Linked DNA regions of Saccharomyces cerevisiae S288C. The protein of the gene in region 2 interacts with the protein of the main gene of each other region in a pairwise test. Each region holds a gene or a part of one and is shown on either strand. Other genes may lie near its edges.

Region 1 (4,544 bases), on a different chromosome or scaffold from region 2:
GTAGAATATTTGAAACGGATAAGAACGGTCCTTCTAGAATTAGAAACTAAGCTGTCAAATAATGCAAAAGGCGACAATCCTACAGTTGATAACACTACAAGGCATAGTCGACTTGAAAACTCGTCTAATTCACTTGCCCCCTTACACGAAAGTCTTACCAGTTTAATTTTGGATTTGATATCTGTAAAAGATCGTAAGACGTCAATTTCTCCGAAAATAGTGATAAACACATTAGAGTCCATCTTTAAATCAAAGATCTCATCCAAACAAAATGATGCACATGAATTTACATTAATATTACTACAAACATTACAGGAAGAACGATCAAAATTGATCGATTACAGTAAACAGATATGTAATTTGAATATACCAAAGTTTCCATTTGAGGGCGAGACTTCCAAGTTTCTAGTATGCCTTAAATGCAAGGGTCTATCAGAACCATCATACAAACAGACTTTCATCCGCGAACTGTCCGTACCACAACAAACATCAGAGAATCTATCCAATATTCTAGCACACGATGAAACAGAAATCATAGACGACTATTCATGCCTGATCTGCCAAATAAGAGCAATCTTAAACCATGAAGAATATAGAAATTTCAAGGACTGTACCCCGGATGAAATTTTAATGTTGGACAGATTGAAAAATTATGCCACTAAAGCCCCAATTAACGAAAATTTACCATTCGAAGTAGAACAGTACGTCAAGCGTTACTCAAAGGGCAATTTGCAGGTATCTAATATAAAGGGAAAGGTCATCAAAAAAGATGTAGTAGTACAACTGCCAGACATATTAATTGTTCACTTATCGAGATCCACATTCAATGGTATTACATATTCTAGAAATCCCTGCAATGTCAAATTTGGAGAAAGAATAACACTTTCTGAATATACATTGGCTGAGAGTGGGACAATAACAGAAAACAGGCAAGTCAAATATAATTTGAAAAGTGTTGTGAAACACACCGGTTCTCATTCGAGTGGACACTATATGTGTTACAGACGCAAGACTGAAATTCGTTTCGGGAAGGAGGATGAATCTTCCTTCAGAAGAGCACCAGTTGTCAACAATGAAGTTAACAAGAATCGCGAGCAAAACGTTGCACATAATGATTACAAAAAAAGCAGATATAAAAAAGTCAAAAACGCCCTGCGGTATCCTTATTGGCAAATATCTGATACCGCCATAAAGGAATCTACCGCTTCAACTGTCTTGAATGAACAGAAATATGCTTATATGCTATACTACGAACGTGTAAATAAATAACCGCCCTGTACATAGGTATATTATAATAATAGTAAGTTACGCATCCATATCCACATCAGTATCCACTGCCATCATTTCAACATCGGTATCAGCCTCTCCATCATAAGTGTATTTCGAAGTCATTTGATTATGGAACCACTTCCACCAGCTTAGATAAGCAATTTCCTTATAATCTACCCATTTTATTATTTGTAGCCTTTTTTCTCTCAAACGTTCCCATATTTTGTCATAAAACAAGTCATTGTCGCCGCGTTTACTTGTGGAACACTTGATGATCTCTTTCAGGACCTTATCATCAATAGCGTCTGTGAATACTATATTGTTATGAATAAGATTGTTATCATCTGCATGTCCGTTCTTGGGCCCTTTATCATTTAAGGATAAATTCTCTAAATCTATAATTAGTCTTTTTCTTTTATAATTATCAATTCCTATTGGGTCTGGAGAATGATTTCTTTTCCTAATGTGGTTGGGATTGCCATTACTTCTTGCAAACCGGGAACTCATGGAATGAAAAAGTCATTTAAACGTGCCACTAGTTTTACTATCTGCTAATCGTTCTAGACGTGTAATATAAATCATATCCGAGCGCCGTTGTTGAATAATTTAATGCCTTCGTATTACATACATTTTGAAATTTGCTTTCGTAAAAGAGCGGTTCCCGGATAAAAAAGTGTGCAAATAACCGAGCCTTATTTGATTTCCAGTAAAGACCCAACCAAACGCATCATTGAAGCAAAAATAGATTAAAACTTACTGTTGTTCGTCTATTGAATTTTGTTCGGATTGGTGTGGTGTTTAATATCTTGGGCAGAAAGAGAATTGGCTTTATAGACACTCATAAAATCATCATTCCCCTTAGAGCAAAAGGTATTTTTAGAAGCCAAGAAGAAGAGCAGATAAAAAAGAAGTACGCCCTCTAACAATAAAAGTCAAATGGCTAGACAATTATTCACTCCTCCGATAACCAATCCAAGGTTTGACCCTAATCAATCCATCAGGGAATCATACAAGAACACAACTGGCGGCATGCAATTTCAACAAAATCTACATGAGGATCAAAATGACAATGAGAGAAGTAGCTGTGATGGTGATGAAAACTCTACAACAGGAGAAAGGCTAGAAAACAATAAGTCTCCTATATTGACAAAACAAGAAATTGACGAAGCGTTGAACACTGTCACCAATTTACCTCCAGAATTATCAAAATTAATTGACATTTTTATTGATGACCTAAAGCAGCCAAAGTACGTACGGCCACTATCAGTACTGCAATTGTCTAGTCTTTTCCAAAGCTTTTACATAAAATTTGATAAAGCATCATTCCAGCACGTCAGTTCAGCGAATAATAATGGCTATTATTTTTCTGGCGGGGGCTCTAGTTCATTCTTGGCTGCCAAAGAAACGTTAAGTAGTGGTCTTAGCGGAATTTTTGGCAGAAGTAGGAGTAGTAGTGGAAATTCACTTATGAGGCCAAGAAGATCTTCATCGCTTTTCAGTAATGAGTCAATATCAAATTCAACTAATGCCACACAAATGTTGTCACCTGAAGAGATAAAAAAGCAATTGAAAATCAACGAATTAAACAACATGAAAATCGAAAAATATATGGAACTTTGTGAAAGAGATGTTTTTAAGAAAATTCTTATAGTAGGCACATCCGTATCTTCACCGAATAAAATGAAAACCTTCAAACCACACCAATTACAAACTTTCAAGGTTGGAAATCTATTTAGAAACAGTGTTGAATTCACAGAATACAATAAGTTGTTGAATGAAAAAATCCTCTGTTTGTCCAAACTCTCAACAATGAATAAAATCAATTTGATAAAGTTTCTGAGTCTTAATAATGGCATTGATCCGGAACCAAAGTTTGAAGAGATCAAAGATATTTTATATGAGTTTACTTATCATTCGATTTCACCATGTGAAAAGATAAAGGCCCTACTGAAACTACATGAAATCATGACATATTCCCAAGAAATGTCTAATGATGATTATCTTTCGTTGCTAATCTACTACATTATTACGATTGTTCCACGGGATATTTTCTTGAATGCCGAATTCATCAGGCTGTTCAGATATAAGAAAAAGCTGGTCGAAACAGAATCCTTTGCATTAACCAATCTAGAAGCTGCATTAGTTTTTGTTGAAGGCTTAACCAAAAATGATTTTTCAAATGAGCTACAAGATAAATTGACTGTAAATGAAAGTAAAATTTTAGAAAATTCAATCAGCAGTAGAGTCTCATTGCCATCAAAAACTGCTATAATGCATAAAAACAACGGTAATAACGGCAGTAACCTAGGTGACATCGTGACTCCTACTATCCAAAGGCCAGATGTTACAAGATCGAATTCGTATGATGGCTTCAGGACCGTTTTTGATTCATCATTAAAAAATATCATCGGAAAAATTAGGTCATATACTCCACCACATCCTAACAATACTAGCAATAATAACCTTCACAGTAGCAACAACTTAAACATACCACGAAGTTCGTCTCAATTATCCATGGAATTGAGCAATAGAGATACAACAGAGATGTCTAGGGATGGCTCACGATCAACTTCATCATCTTCACGATCTTCAGCATCTTTAGAGCACGGAAATCGCGAATTTACCGGCGATTTGACAGTAACCGCTAGCATTAACGGTGCTGATAAAAAGGAGTTTCAGAAATCGTGGAAAAAATATAAAGGCTATAAATTTGAAGATTTGACTATTTGCGAACTAAGAGATCTTTTTGAGATATATCAAAAGATGATGCAATGAAACGTATATATGAAATCGTATGTATAGATGCGAAAGAGGAGGAGAGAAGGCTTTATTTCTGACTATCTTCCTCCACTAATTTGATTGATCAATTTATTTCACAATTCGGATAAGTGGTCTATTATATATAACAATTCGTCATGTAAATTGGTGGCGGTGTCGGAATGCGAAGCCAAATCAGGTAAATACTTATTTTCATTATCATTTTTTATCATATTCACTAATTGATTAATAAAATTTTTGGTGTAGGCCAATGAATTGGTGTCGAATTCCAGTATTTGAATCAGCTTTAGTTTTATATCTTTATCACTTGTCCTCAACAGGAGAATTCTTAGAATTTCATTGTGTTGCTCAGTTTGACCTTTCGTTTTAGTGAAGTTAAGGGCGTGGACGATGGGAAAAGATAACTTCCCCTCTGTAATGTCCTCAGCAAAGCCTTTTTCGCTGGACATTTGGAAATCTTTCAAATTCAAGTAATCATCTCTAATCTGATAAATAAT
Region 2 (4,328 bases):
ATTGAACAAGTCTTGGAAATTAAAGGCCAATGCATTTAATAAAGAAGCCTTGAGCCGAATAAAAAATCTACAGAAACTAACTACTGGTTTAGAACAAGAAGACTGTTCCATTTGTCTAAACAAAATAAAACCTTGCCAAGCCATTTTTATATCACCATGTGCCCATAGTTGGCATTTTCATTGTGTAAGAAGATTGGTTATTATGAATTATCCTCAATTCATGTGTCCGAACTGTAGGACAAACTGTGATTTGGAGACTACCTTGGAATCCGAATCTGAATCCGAATTCGAAAACGAGGACGAAGATGAGCCAGACATTGAAATGGATATAGACATGGAAATAAATAACAATTTAGGTGTTCGCCTAGTAGATTGATCACATGAAATTTTGTGCTATATATATATATATATATATATATATATATAACATAGAGTCGTCATACCTCTCAAAAAAGTGGCGGCCAGGGAAAATATTTAATAGTTTCAGTTCATTCCTTCGTTCATTTACAGTAACTTGTAGGAAATAGACCTTTCAATCCGTCACATTCACCATATGTCCACCCGCTACCGTCATCGCCTCTGATAACAGTAATTATGTCCCCCGGATCAATTGAAATCTCATCATCTCCCTGTGCTTCGTAGGCATATATGGCCTCCATCGTCCTAACAGGTAGTGTACTCCTTCTTGGTGGTGGTACTTCTGGTGCAGGGCCTCTATCATTTGCTTTAACTGTAGCCGCGCTAGATATGCGAATATATGTGGTGGGTACAAGGCCGGTTTCCCCAGTGGTGTCGTTATTTATCTTAGTCCATCCAGAACCCGTATCGCGTGCAACCAAAGAGATTTTGTCTCCTGGCGTAATGGTGATTTCGTCATCATCCTTTTGTACGTATGCATACAACACTTTATTCTTGCCGTCATCACTGGAATTTTGTGTGGTCTTTTTTGTATTGTTGGTACTAGTGGTGCGTATAGAATTATTATCTGAATCTTCACCAGCGTTGTTAGGGGCAGAGCCTAGCCTAGTTCTTCTTGATGTGTTGAAGAGACTTGTTATATGCAAGGGTCCTCCGTTGCCATTACCAGTGCTCCCTCCACTCGAAGGCTTCGAGTCGACGTTCAGGATGTTGTGTTTGAACTTACTGAATATCCCGGATTTCTTCTTTGTTTTGGAAAGATCAATATTGTCTGTGGATAAATCGTATTCTTCAGGAACATTATTCTGAATACTTTCGATTTGAACTTCGGCTTGCAATTTTAATGTTTCGTGTGAGGTAAAGGGTGAAACGACATTTAAGTATTCCTTTAGTGTATCATAAAACTTAGTGGCATTGATATTATCTTCATTAGTTTTCATTTCGTGCTTTATCTTGTTCAAAGTAGACAGTTTGGATAACTCATTTTGAGTTTTATCTTGCAATGAATTGTAATCATTTTCTGCTTTTGCCAGTTTTATTCTCAAGTCTTCAACTTCCAACGACGAGGGAACAGCAAATTTTTCATCATCATGCCATACTGGAGATGGCTTATAGACAAAGTCTTGTGGTTCTTTCCAATTCTTTAGATTGTGCTTGATAAAGATGGCCGTGTTTAAAGAGGGTTTATTCTGCTTGACAACAGAATTTGCCGCCTGGAGTCTTTTGCTGACATTTGCACCCAGATCGTTCTCGACAGAAGCCGCCTTCAACCACAGATCATTTAAGAAAAGGGTCTTTGCCTCATTTACGTCTTGTAGAAGATCTAGCACTTCAGGAACATCTTGAAAATAGTATTTATCCTTAGTTCTATTTGCCTGGTTGATCTTGATTAAATATTCATTTTTACACTTGTTCATCTCCATTTCTTTTTCATCCAACTTCTTTTTATTTCTATCATTAGATGCCTTGGTATACCTATTTCTTGCCATTTCCATAGTGGAACAGGCTTCATCATAGTCCTTCTTCGCTTTTTCCAGTTCGTGGTAAATGTTATCCTTTTTATTAACCATGTCATTGTTAAATCCATTTATCTTGCTCAAAGTCATATCAAGTTTAGTGAATAATCCACTCAATTGATTTGCTACATGATTTTCAAAGTCGGTTGATAACTGATCATGATCCTTGGAAATCATATCAGTCTGAGATAGAATTTCATTCCATGCAACCACACCTGCAGCTTCAATGGACCCTGGCGTGGTAGTAGGTGTGTCACCTACCGAGATAGGAACTGAGGTCGAAGACTTCTTATTAAAGTACTCTGCTGATAAGCGAGATAATCTCTCGCTGTAGTCTTTTTCTAACTTAGCCCTTTCCCGATAAAATTGCTCAATGTCCTTCAACCATTTTAAGTTATTTTGGACCCATTTATGGGTTTCCTTAAATGAATCTTTAATTTCATTACCAATCGATAAATCTGCACTCATTTTTATTGCAAGTAATGTAGTAGTTGGCGTTTAAGGATAGATTTCCGCTCATACAAAATTGATCAATCTGCTACCTTCTTCAAAAACTATTTGCGTACAAACTAAATCTGTCTATTCCTTTGCTAAGCGTATATTCTTTTAAAAACTTTTTATTTTTCTGAAGACCCCGCGAAAGCTTATGTAGATCACAAGATATTATATATATTTACTATTTGTAAAATACAAAAGAGGGCAATAAATATACCGGATTATGAATCATCTAACAATTGCAGTTTAGACAACAATTTCAGATTCTATGGAAGTGTAGCGTTCAAAAAATTCCTTAAATAACTTGATTTGGAACTCCAGGTCTGCAGAGCCACCGGTCTCTCTAATCGAATGCATACTCAACACAGGATTACCCAAGTCTAGAGTTCTAATACCTGTCTTTGAGGCCAAAATGGGGCCGATGGTAGAACCGCATGGTGAGTCGTTAGCTACGACAAACAATTGCAAAGGGACTTTAGCAGCCTCTGCTAGTCTTTTCACCAAGACCAACCCTGGTGAATTGGTCATGTAACGTTGATTCGCGTTAATCTTGATTACGGGACCACCACCCAATAAGGGTTTGTGTTGGCTTTCGTATTTGTTTGCATAGTTTGGATGAACTGCATGAGCAACATCAGATGAAAGGAAAAACGACTTAGCGGAAGTTTCCAATATTGCCGAGTGAAACAAAGGTTTAGTTTGATCAGAACCGTCCCCCTTCAGGATGGACAACCTTTCCAATATATTAGGCAAGAAGTTAGAATCTGCCCCTTGGGCGGAGGATGAGCCAATCTCCTCATGATCAAAGCATGCCATCAATCTAATGCCTGATTCTCGGTCAATTTCTGTGTCAGCCGCCAACGTTAAACCGTGCATTGATGTGAAACAAGATGTCAAATTATCCAATCGACCAGAGAAGACAAACTCATCGTTGAACCCACCTAGAGTGGATGCATTATGATCATAAAGGATCAATTCGAAGTCTTCAATGTCTTCAATTGTATCAATGGCGAGTTCTTTGGCTATTAGCCCCAAAAGTTCTGCGTGATGCCTCTGTACTATCGTTTTTATGGAGGTAAACTCACCGTTATTAATTTCCTTTTCAGTTTTCGCTTCAGTTTTGTCTTCTTGCAGACCACCAATCGGCAACAGTTGAGTTTCTCTATTAAACTCGAATTTTTGATTTACGTCTCTGTCCAGATGAATAGCCAAAGTAGGAATCTTTAACAGAGGTCTATTCAAATCCACCAATCTAGCAATGGATTTGCCAGTTTTCGCATCCTTTACGAAAACTCTTCCGGCAACGCCCAAATCCTTATCAAACCATGAATGCCAAATAGCGCCACCATAAGTTTCCACGCCCACTTGTAAATACTTCTCACTGACTCTTTTAGAAATAGGCTTAATCCTTAATGCGGGGGAGTCGGTGTGAGCACCCGTAATGGCAATTGGATTACCAGGCTCCCACTTTCCACCAACAGCAAACGCAATAATGGAAGAGCCATTTCTTGTCACAAAGTACTTTCCTTTTTGTGCGACGTGGCCAGCCCACGAGTCACGTTCGCTCAACTCTTTGAAGCCATTTGACACCAGATGCTTTTTGATGTTATGAACTGTATGGTAAGGAGAGTGTGAGCTATTTAAGAAACTGACAAACTCCTTTGGGTAATCACTCTTGCATGTTTTGCTGGACATAGTTCTCAGTTGTATCCTGAACATAGAAAAGCTGAACCTTTTATTCTTTCTTTTTACCTACTTGCTCACATAACATGAATTTTTTCTTTCATTCATACAGGAGGAAAACGCCCTTTTTTCTTTCATTTAAGAGCGTGGAGATATCTGCAACTTTTCAGCAAGTATGATAAGGCTAAAATGATAAGGAATAGAAAACCGTAGCCA
Region 3 (5,842 bases), on a different chromosome or scaffold from region 2:
ATTTTATGTAGTTGTGGAGCTTATATAAAGAAATGGACAATATTCGCAATCGCTTCTCAAAAGGGAAATATTTTCCCTTTTCGGGCGGTGGTCGTGTTGACAAATTTCCTAGTTAAGAACTAAGATTTGGAGATGGACAGATTCATTAATAAATTTCAAAATAAGCACAGAAAGCATCGAATTTTTAGCTCAAAACAATCTACTTTTCAATCATCAAAACAGACTATTGAATAAAGATGGGCAATGTGTCTGTGGCAGTGGGAACGGCAGTTGGGATTCCAATTGCTGTGGGCGTAATAATAGCCCTGATATTTTGGTGTAAATTACAACGACGTTACAAAAAAGAAGAGATTAGAGATGCTGATTTGGAGAAGATGGTAATGGAAGAAGTGGCAGTGTCGGTATATGATGGTTTTAAAGCCGAAATTAACAGCTCAAGTGAAGCTTCCACGATAAACGAAAAGGAAGCAAACCAGGATCTTAAACCCTGCCAAGAAAAAACCGCCAAGGCAGGGTACACACCAGCATACAGAAGGCAATTGAACGCTAGTATGGGGACTTTGCGTCCAAAAAAGCAGAGCACTGCATATACCAATGTCCCCGTCATTTTCAGCGGCGAAAAGGTGAATTATGGGATGGTCAGAGATCCTTCCTATAGTTTTATGTATCCACTGACGCTATCGCGCAAAGAAACGAGTAGTTTGAGATCAGCTTCTACGTCAAACTTGTCATCGAGCACAGAAAATACTGCGTTACACGAAGAAATAAAACTGGATGACCCATATGAAAACGATTTTACGAATTATACTGTCAACAAGAGAGAATTTATTGACAGCTTACGGCCACACTAATATATATGCATATAGATATATAAACGTACCTACATAGTTTTGCATTTGTATAGATACCCAGACCACTTGTAATAACGATAAAAATAAAATAATAATAAAGGATATTTACAGACAAATAGCACCATACTTGCTATTAAATTGGTGTCTTGGTATTTTCAGCTAGCAAATCGATCTTTTGGCCAGCGGCAGTGACGCTCCATTCATGAATCAAAAACTCTTCGTCGTGAGTGTTCCTATCGGCAACCAGTCTAACGGTTCCAGTAACGTTTTTGTCCCCCTTGATATAAAACGTAATGTTAATCCTACCCTTCACAGAGTTCAGTTCACCGTAGACCCAAGGGATGATACCATCAAATTCTATGCTCTCACCCAGTATGTTTTTAGTTGCTGGAGACCGTCTTATATAATACAGCGTGTTGGAGATAATGGGGGACTCCGTCTTTTCATAGTTGAAGATCAAAGATAGTGCGGACCCAATGGCCACAGAAAACAACAAAAATCCAGCTATTCGCTTTCTCCTCTCCGTGGTTGGGTCAGGCAATTCTCTGTCAATTCTCAATGGCCTGTTCTTGTCTTTCAAAACGATCTTGGCCTCATCTTCAGCGACACTATTATTGAATCTAGCGCTGGTAGAGAATGAGTGCAGCAAGGAACCACGCACTAGCACAGCCTTAGCTGCAGAAGGTGTCACTTTCGGCAACCCTTTAGTTACTAGTCTTAACATCATGTATAGTCTGTTTTATCTTTTACTTTTATGTCGTGGACTGGTACGGAGAGAAAGATCGAACTGTTTTAAAACTGGGATTAAAATGACAAGAAGGCGCTTTCTTTCTCTCCACAATGATCAAAACAAGAACAAGCAAAACGCAAAGAGATGACATTAGTAAGTACCCAAATGAGCTACTAACAACGCATCCGGTAATACTAACAAGAGAAATTGGTTAGGTAGGGAAACTAGTACACATATCCATAGATTTGGTCTTGGTATCAACGTGCCTCGCGGGGATTAAACGCAATACAGGTTTGACGCCTAAACTGGAGACTCTGGACAATCAGACTATGAGAAACTACATGAAGCGGTACTTGAACTTGGGAGAGTCTGTATACGACTATTCTGTTGCCACTTGTGGCTCCTCGACGTATTTCGCTAGGAAATAGGTACGTTTATATTCTATATATGTTGATAATATTTTGTATAACGGCACCCAGCCGGGGGCCAAAATTAATAACCGCAACTTAAAGAGCTATCGCTATCGATTACGCATAGAACTTTAAATGCTAGACGATGATAAGGGCACGGCCATGCATCCACATATAACGCCGTTCACGCCTGAGTACTCAAATGAATTACTGCGAAGGGTCCAGGACCTGTACCACGAAGATATCAAGCACTACTATCCGCAGCTAAAACTGGAGAAGCTGCTGGACCTTCTGGAGCATACAGAGTACCTATTCGAGTTATATCTAGATTCAATCCATCACGATAGGCCCAACGATGCACTGACAGCGTTTATCATTGGATGCTACTACGTGTTCTTAATTATTCCACAATCTTTGCAGTTCCAAACACGAAACAAGTCCTACAGCATCTATACAGATCTAAAAAAGATGTATGAGAATGAAATGAACATGACCAATGTTGTGCTTATGGTGAAGAAAGAAATCGGTGTGGTCCTAGATGAATCGGTTAAACACGGGGCCGGTATTGAGCACAGAATCACCAAGAAGAGGGCATTTTCAGTTCCAGCTGACGATCTTTCAGGTCAGGTAGCTTCACTATCACTTGACACCGCGGCACCGCAAGATCATGGCCTCAAAGGCACGTTTACTGAAGACGACGCAGAACAATCTTCACCTGTTTGGACAGCACCAAACTTAGAGCCCAACGACCAATTGAAACTGGCTTTATTGCCCGAAGTGATACCAACGCCAGCTTTTCGTGAGCCTGAAAGAAAGACAAGTGTTCCAGTGAGACCATCTGTTTTATTGGAAGATGTACCCTCCATATACCACGAGGATGACACTAGTTTCGCATCTTTGAACCCACCATTTCGAGAAATAACCGCAGATAGATCAGTAACTCATCGAAAGGATTCTTACCATTCTGTTTATATGGTGGATAGCGGCAACCTCAAGGAAGACAATGATGATCTGTTCAACGTTGAGAATGATGGCTTCATCCAGAGTTTGGATATTTTACAAAAGCAGAGTATAATCACAGCACCAGAATTGTTTAGTATTTTATCGAATCGCGTTGAACGTGAAAAGGTTTTACTCATCGACTTGAGAATACCACAAAGATCTGCAATAAATCACATTGTGGCTCCGAACTTAGTGAATGTGGATCCAAACTTGTTGTGGGACAAGCAGACGAACACACCTATCTACAAGGATGACATATTGGAACATTTACTGAAGGAGAATGAGAATTTTATAAACCGTAATAAATTTGATTACATTGTTTACTATACTGATGTGAAGACCTTCATGACTATAAATTTTGATTATGCATTTATTTTTTTTTATTTGATGCTGACTTCTCAGAAGACTCCTTTAACAACTGTACCTACTACCCTCTTAGGTGGGTACGAAAAATGGAAGAAAACTCTGCATTCGTATGCCCAGGAGTATCATATCTCTATTGAAGATTACTTGTACAGACCTTACTCACAGAAGGCGCGCTTACAACAGGAGCAGCAGCAGCAGCAGCAGCAGCCGGATTCTCAGGACTCTTTTTCCGCTAAGGAATCATCTACAAAAGTTCCTGAGCCTCCCTCCTGGAAGCCCCCTGACCTGCCTATAAGGTTAAGGAAACGTCCTCCACCTCCACCGCCTGTATCAATGCCCACAACCCCAGAAATTCCACCTCCTCTGCCCCCTAAGATAATGGTTCATTCACAAGTCAGTTCTATCTCTCGAAAGCCGCCAATACCAGCAAAGCAGCATGTCAAAAAGGAACAACTTAACTCCAATGAAATTATTCAAAGAAAAAGACAGCACCAGCATCAGCATTACGACCAACAAATATTACAACCGCAAAGGGCGTACAATATTCCAACTATTGAACGCAGTCCAAACGTATACGTTTCGTTGTCCATCACGGGACTAAGAAATTTGGGCAATACATGTTACATTAATAGTATGATACAATGTCTATTCGCTGCGAAAACATTCCGGACACTCTTCATTTCATCCAAATATAAGAGCTATCTGCAACCAATAAGGAGCAACGGATCTCATTATTCTCCTAAACTTTCGAATTCACTAAGTATGCTCTTCAACAAGATGTATCTAAATGGTGGTTGCTCAGTTGTCCCAACAGGATTTCTCAAAGTTATCAATCAATTGCGTCCCGATTTGAAAATTCCTGATGACCAACAGGATACCCAAGAGTTCCTAATGATACTTTTAGACAGGTTACACGATGAACTTTCCGACCAACAGCATGTAGCGAACGATTATCCGAATTTATTATTGTATAATGCAGATGCCCTAAAGGTTTCAAACAACGAATATAAGCACTGGTTTGACAAAAATGTCATTGGTAATGGTATATCTCCTATTGATGACATTTTTCAAGGGCAAATGGAGAACAGCTTACAATGTAAAAGGTGCGGTTACACTACTTTCAACTATAGCACATTTTATGTTTTATCACTGGCTATACCAAGACGTTCCATGAAGTTGAGTAAACTTGGTAGGTCTACTGAGAAAAGAGTTAAGTTAGAGGATTGTATTAATATGTTTACAAGCGATGAGGTACTCTCTGGTGAAAATGCATGGGATTGCCCACGCTGTGGCCCCACGGCGTCTGTGTCTACATCTGTGTCTGCATTAGAGAATGAGCCATCCATTGTTAAGAGTAAAAAGAAAAAAAGTCGGTTTTTTACATTACATACAGGAACCAAGCGTCGTCATCTCGACTTTTTTGGAGACGGTATTACTGAGGGCCATAATAGCAATAATAATAATACGACAATCTTTGAACGAGAAAGGTCCAGATCACCCTTCAGGATGTTGGGTGGTAGTGGGAAGAGGTCCAGTTCCAGTACACCGTTCAGTACTGGTGGTAATGATAGTAACAACTCGAGTGATTACAAGAACAAAAAATTGACAACAGTGAAAACGATAAATTTTGTAACTTTACCAAAAATCTTAGTCATCCATTTATCGAGATTTTATTACGATTTGACCAAGAAAAATAACACCGTCGTAACATATCCATTGATACTAAACATTATATTGAAAAACAATGACACTATGAAATATAAGCTATTTGGAGTGGTTAACCATACAGGCACATTAATCAGTGGCCATTACACGTCACTGGTGAATAAAGACCTTGAACACAATGTGAATATTGGGCGTTCTAAATGGTACTATTTCGACGATGAGGTTGTCAAGGCAGATAGGAAACATGGATCTGATAAAAACTTGAAAATTTCAAGTAGCGATGTCTACGTATTGTTTTATGAAAGGGTTTATGACTAGCAAAATTTTGCATTTTTTTTTTTGCACCATAAATATGTATTGCGTATGCACCAGGACGTTGAAGAATATTATTTAGTGTTTCTATATTTTATGATAAAACTAGAGATAAAGGGGATAATTAAAACGATATTAAAACGGAAGTCTACACAATGATTATATAGATTATATTATGTATTGGAAATAGAATATAAACACTAGGAAGGTCATAATTTGAAGATCAATTGTAGTAGTAGAGTCTATTACCTCTTTTTTTTTTTTTCTTCATATATTTTTGTAGTTTTTTTAGTTTACTTTAACTCTTCCATTAAGGAAAATAGGTAATAATAGCGATTTCATTGCCATTACCACCATTATTATTATTGTTATTACTATCATTATTATTATTATCATCATTACCATTATTATTACTCTTGTGAATGTTATCTTTGTCACCCTTAACTATCATGATCGATTTAGACACCAAACGTCTTGATGAAGTTCACAGTTTTTTCAAGTTCCCA
Region 4 (4,588 bases), on a different chromosome or scaffold from region 2:
CCTCAGTTTTCTGTAGGTTCTTTAATAGCATCAGTTCGCCAATATATGAGGCAAACGCATCTCCACCAAAGATGACAGAGAACTGTTCAGCTGCATCTTCAAAGCCGCCCTGAGGAATAGCTTCTTTTCTTCCATACTTATCATACTTTGCGCGAAGATCATCGTCACCTAAAACTTGATAAGCTTCGGATATTGCTTGAAACCTTTCGGTAGCCGTGGGGTCATTGGGATTCTTATCAGGATGCTCTTGAATAGATTTCTTTCTATAGGCCTTTTTTATTTCAATGGAAGATGCAGTGGTAGACACACCTAACAAATCGTAATACTCAGTATCAACAACCATATCTTTTGTATAATGCCCCTTCTGGCCGCAAGAAACACTTAATGATTTAGCATAACTCTGTTATTCCTCTTGTAAATCTGCCAATTTGTTCAGTACGCTCTGCTTCAAAATAGCACAAAATTCAGGGTGTGCGGGTAAAAAAAAAAAAAGTCGAAGAAATATATATATATATATATAGAATAAAATCTAGTTTTTATGCCATTATTATTAATAACACCTCTAGTTTGCTCGTCATTCACATATTTCTCTCTTGATACATACTATAGAGTTTATTCATACATATTATTTATAAGATTCTAAAGGGAGTGAAAAGACGCTTCTTCTGAATGTAAGGCAGAATCAACGTCTTCGTAGCCACCTGAGAGTTCTCTTTCCATATCAACCTCCATTTGGTCCTCCATCTGCTGTTCCTGTATTTCTGTCGTATCGTTTTGATCTCTGTTGGCGATGGCCTCCGATGGGGACAGAGATTCCTCACTTATGGCTTTTCTATTACCTACGGCGTTCGTCTGTGGCAACTGAGAAAGAGGATCCGACTCAGCATTAGCAGGTAACTTTTCCTTTTCGTCCAGCTCAAAAGGACAAAGAGCAGCCTCCATCTTATTTGGAGATTGTTCTCGTTGTTCCTCGGGAATGCTCTTTGACTTTTCATCCAAGGCCCTTTCTGCTTGCTCACCAGGAGTAGTATCTATTAAGACTTTTTCCTTAGAGAAGGAAGAGGAAACATTCCAATTGTTAAATATTTCTATTTTATTAGTGTTGTCATCTTCTTCAATCTTCTCTACGCTAGCTACTTTAGAAGGTAATTTACGCCCACGAGGTCCTCTACCTCTTCTAGTTCCGCCCAGAGGTCCCGTTTTTGCCTGTGATTGGTCCTGGGGTCCTAGCTTAGATTCAGTATCCGGGGAGGACAACTTCTTCTCCAAGGAAGGTGGAAGCTGTCCAGGGTTCACCATACCAGGTAGCGCAAACAGTCCATTCAATTTGCTCGTAAAATCTGCCTTCGTGGTATCGCTAGTAATAGAAGAATCTGTGTGTTTTTTAGCAATATCTGCTGAAGCGGTAGTAGCTGAAGAATTACCATTATTATGCAGATCTTGTTGCTGTTGTTTTTGTAACATTTCTTGAAAGGCCGCAATTCTTGAAGAAGGTTTTTTGGGAACCGGAGGTGGGGCACGTCTCTTTGGTCTTTCAGAGGGAATTTTTGGGATTTTACTTTCCTCTTCGGTACTAATTAGGGTCGAATCACACTCTTCTGATACTCGCTTCTCTTGTGTGTTAGGCAACTCCTCTTTTTGTACGTGTGCTTCAAAATCCTTCTTAGGCCTACTCCTTGGAATCACTGGAACGTCATTTTCCTCTTCACTTGCAATTTGTGAAGGAACGTTTGAGCTAGTTGCTGCTATAACTGTTTCAGTATCAGAAGGTCCTTGCGGCTGAGAATTCACTTCCATGTTGTCCTTGCCTTCTTGTTTCTCATTCAAAGAGGTAGTACTTTCTTCATCGGTTGGATTTTGGAAAATTTTTTCTTCCTGTTGTTCTTGATGCTTCTGTAGCTCTTCTAAACTAGATTCAGGATGTTTAGTGAACTTTTCAGCTTTGTCGTCTGATTCTGTGATTCCAGATGGAGGCAGAGCATTGAGGCTGCCTTCTTCTACGTCCTTACTAACATCTACCTGTACTTTCATATCTCCAGGAATGAGCTTTTCTTCAAAATGGCTTCTATCCCCTGCCTCATTATCTAGGGCAGCATGTACCTTTTGCTTTTCAGTAAGGTCTTCGGAGTCACTATGCTCTGTCACTTCATTATTAGACTTGTTAACTAAATTAGAAGGTGAAATAGCAGACTCATTGCCCTCAGCACCCTCGTGCTCATTTTTTTCGAGTGGGGAGGGATTTGTAGAAGTTTTGTTATCTGATGCACTTCTTTGCCCGTTTTGATGAATGGCGGCCACCTTTCCCTCTTCCACAGAAGTTGGACTTTTTTTCCTGGAAACATTGTGTATATTGTGCTTTGAAATCAAACTTTCAATCTCCTCTAACTCCTTACTGGTGTTATTCATTACATTATTTAGTTCTTCAGTAGTGGAGCGTCTAACTGGCCTCTGCAATGGTACCTTGGGCAAACTCTCTTGATCCATACCACTCTCAAACGAAGTCATCGTCTTTGCTTTAAGTATGGGTCTACGTGTTGGTACATTGGGCGTTCCTGCTGGTGTTGGTGGCTCGCTATTAGCTTTAATATCTCCTGATTCAGAGCCGGATAACGGAAACAGCTCAGATGTCTTCCTCCTTGAGGGCCTCTCAGGTACTTTTGGCGTAACTTCCGATGGCATTGTATAATCGGTCAAAATAGATTTCCTGTTAGATCACCAACAAAACATGATACTTTCTAAATCAGAAAGCTTAAATTAAAATATACTCAATATTTCTCCTTTTCTTTTGCTTCGCGCCTGGTAAAACAAGATTGCTTTCATTGTGCATGTGGTAGAAAAGACAAGTTAAAAAAGGAGAATGTACTAACACAAAATTCAAACTCCAAAGGGGATAATTGCACTCAATTTGCAAGGTTGTTCCATATGAGACAGGAGTCTTCTTCTCCATCGACCTTCCTAGCTTACTGTGCTCACAGAAAGACATAAACCGGGTAACGGCTTTTACGGGGTTACGTGTGTATATAACCGGGCATCACGAAGAGATCAATAGAGGTGCCCTATGCTCTATCACGGAGCTAAGATATTGTGATTCAAGATATAGTAGCTCACTTCAGTTTTATTCAACACATTCCGGTTCTGTTTTATTTTAGTGTCCTTTTTTCTCTCTGATGGCTAGTGCAGATGATTACTTTAGTGATTTCGAAGATGACGAGCTGGATAAACTGTATGAAAAGGCTATCAATAAATCTGTGAAGGAAACTATAACGAGACGTGCTGTACCAGTTCAAAAAGACCTTCATGATAACGTTTTACCTGGGCAGAAAACTGTGTACGAAGAAATTCAAAGAGATGTCAGTTTTGGACCCACTCATCATGAGCTTGATTACGATGCTTTGTCGTTCTACGTGTACCCTACAAATTACGAGGTAAGGGATTATCAGTATACAATTGTTCACAAATCACTGTTTCAAAATACGTTATGCGCCATCCCAACGGGTATGGGTAAAACGTTCATTGCCAGTACAGTAATGTTAAATTATTTTCGTTGGACCAAAAAAGCCAAAATAATCTTTACTGCTCCAACAAGACCTTTGGTAGCCCAGCAAATTAAGGCATGCTTAGGTATAACAGGAATACCTTCGGATCAAACTGCTATATTACTCGATAAAAGCAGGAAAAATAGAGAAGAAATTTGGGCCAATAAGAGAGTTTTCTTTGCCACACCGCAAGTAGTGGAGAATGACTTGAAGAGGGGTGTATTGGATCCTAAGGATATTGTATGTCTTGTCATCGATGAAGCTCACAGAGCTACTGGCTCCTCTGCGTATACAAATGTGGTAAAATTCATAGATAGGTTCAATTCATCATACAGATTATTAGCATTGACCGCTACACCAGCCTCTGACCTGGAAGGTGTCCAAGAAGTGGTTAATAACTTAGATATTTCCAAGATTGAAATTAGGACTGAAGAAAGCATGGATATCGTGAAATATATGAAGAAAAGAAAAAAGGAAAAAATTGAAGTGCCCCTTTTGTTGGAAATTGAAGACATAATCGAACAATTAGGTATGGCCGTCAAACCAGTGCTTCAACAGGCAATTGAACTCGGTATATATGAGGAATGTGACCCTTCACAAATAAACGCCTTCAAAGCCATGCAACAAAGCCAAAAAATTATTGCTAACCCTACTATACCTGAAGGAATTAAGTGGAGGAACTTCTTTATTTTACAGTTATTGAACAATGTGGGTCAAATGCTAAAGAGATTAAAAATTTATGGAATAAGGACATTTTTCAATTACTTCCAGAATAAATGTACAGAATTCACTACGAAATATAATCTTAAAAAATCTACTAATAAAATTGCAGCTGAGTTTTATTACCATCCGATTTTGAAAAACATCAAAAATCAATGCGAAAATTATTTAAGTGATCCAAAGTTTGTCGGTCATGGGAAGTTACAATGTGTTAGAGATGAACTAATGGACTTTTTTCAGAAAAGGGGTTCCGACTCGAGGGTTATTATTTTTACAGAATTAAGAGAAAGCGCACTTGAAATTGTGAAGTTCATAGACTCGGTAGCTGACGA

What was found.
Region 1: the proteins of BZZ1 (region 2) and MUK1 interact in a two-hybrid assay, tested with the Saccharomyces cerevisiae proteins (one study listed by BioGRID).
Region 3: the proteins of BZZ1 (region 2) and UBP7 interact in binary tests that used the Saccharomyces cerevisiae proteins (3 or more experiments, as listed by UniProt).
Region 4: the proteins of BZZ1 (region 2) and AIM21 interact in binary tests that used the Saccharomyces cerevisiae proteins (3 or more experiments, as listed by UniProt).

Annotation. Positions count from the first base shown.
Region 1 is NC_001148.4:418,743-423,286, forward strand, and holds MUK1 (guanine nucleotide exchange factor MUK1), read left to right. Parts: upstream 1-2,205; coding exon 2,206-4,044; downstream 4,045-4,544. Other genes in the region: putative ubiquitin-specific protease UBP16, read left to right, coding at 1-1,269; YPL071C (uncharacterized protein), read right to left, coding at 1,306-1,776; BTS1 (farnesyltranstransferase), read right to left, coding at 4,143-4,544. UniProt on the Saccharomyces cerevisiae protein: Putative GTPase-activating protein.
Region 2 is NC_001140.6:336,157-340,484, reverse strand, and holds BZZ1 (Bzz1p), read right to left. Parts: upstream 2,403-4,328; coding exon 501-2,402; downstream 1-500. Other genes in the region: ubiquitin-conjugating protein DMA1, read left to right, coding at 1-376; APE4 (aspartyl aminopeptidase), read right to left, coding at 2,676-4,148. UniProt on the Saccharomyces cerevisiae protein: Plays a role in endocytosis and trafficking to the vacuole. Functions with type I myosins to restore polarity of the actin cytoskeleton after NaCl stress.
Region 3 is NC_001141.2:45,965-51,806, forward strand, and holds UBP7 (ubiquitin-specific protease UBP7), read left to right. Parts: upstream 1-2,126; coding exon 2,127-5,342; downstream 5,343-5,842. Other genes in the region: AIM20 (Aim20p), read left to right, coding at 237-851; COA1 (Coa1p), read right to left, coding at 985-1,578; ATG44 (mitofissin), read left to right, coding at 1,726-1,734, 1,797-2,009; GUT2 (glycerol-3-phosphate dehydrogenase), read right to left, coding at 5,795-5,842. UniProt on the Saccharomyces cerevisiae protein: Involved in the sorting of ubiquitinated cargo proteins at the multivesicular body (MVB).
Region 4 is NC_001141.2:358,976-363,563, reverse strand, and holds AIM21 (Aim21p), read right to left. Parts: upstream 2,680-4,588; coding exon 640-2,679; downstream 1-639. Other genes in the region: DJP1 (Djp1p), read right to left, coding at 1-343; MPH1 (3'-5' DNA helicase), read left to right, coding at 3,168-4,588. UniProt on the Saccharomyces cerevisiae protein: Involved in mitochondrial migration along actin filaments.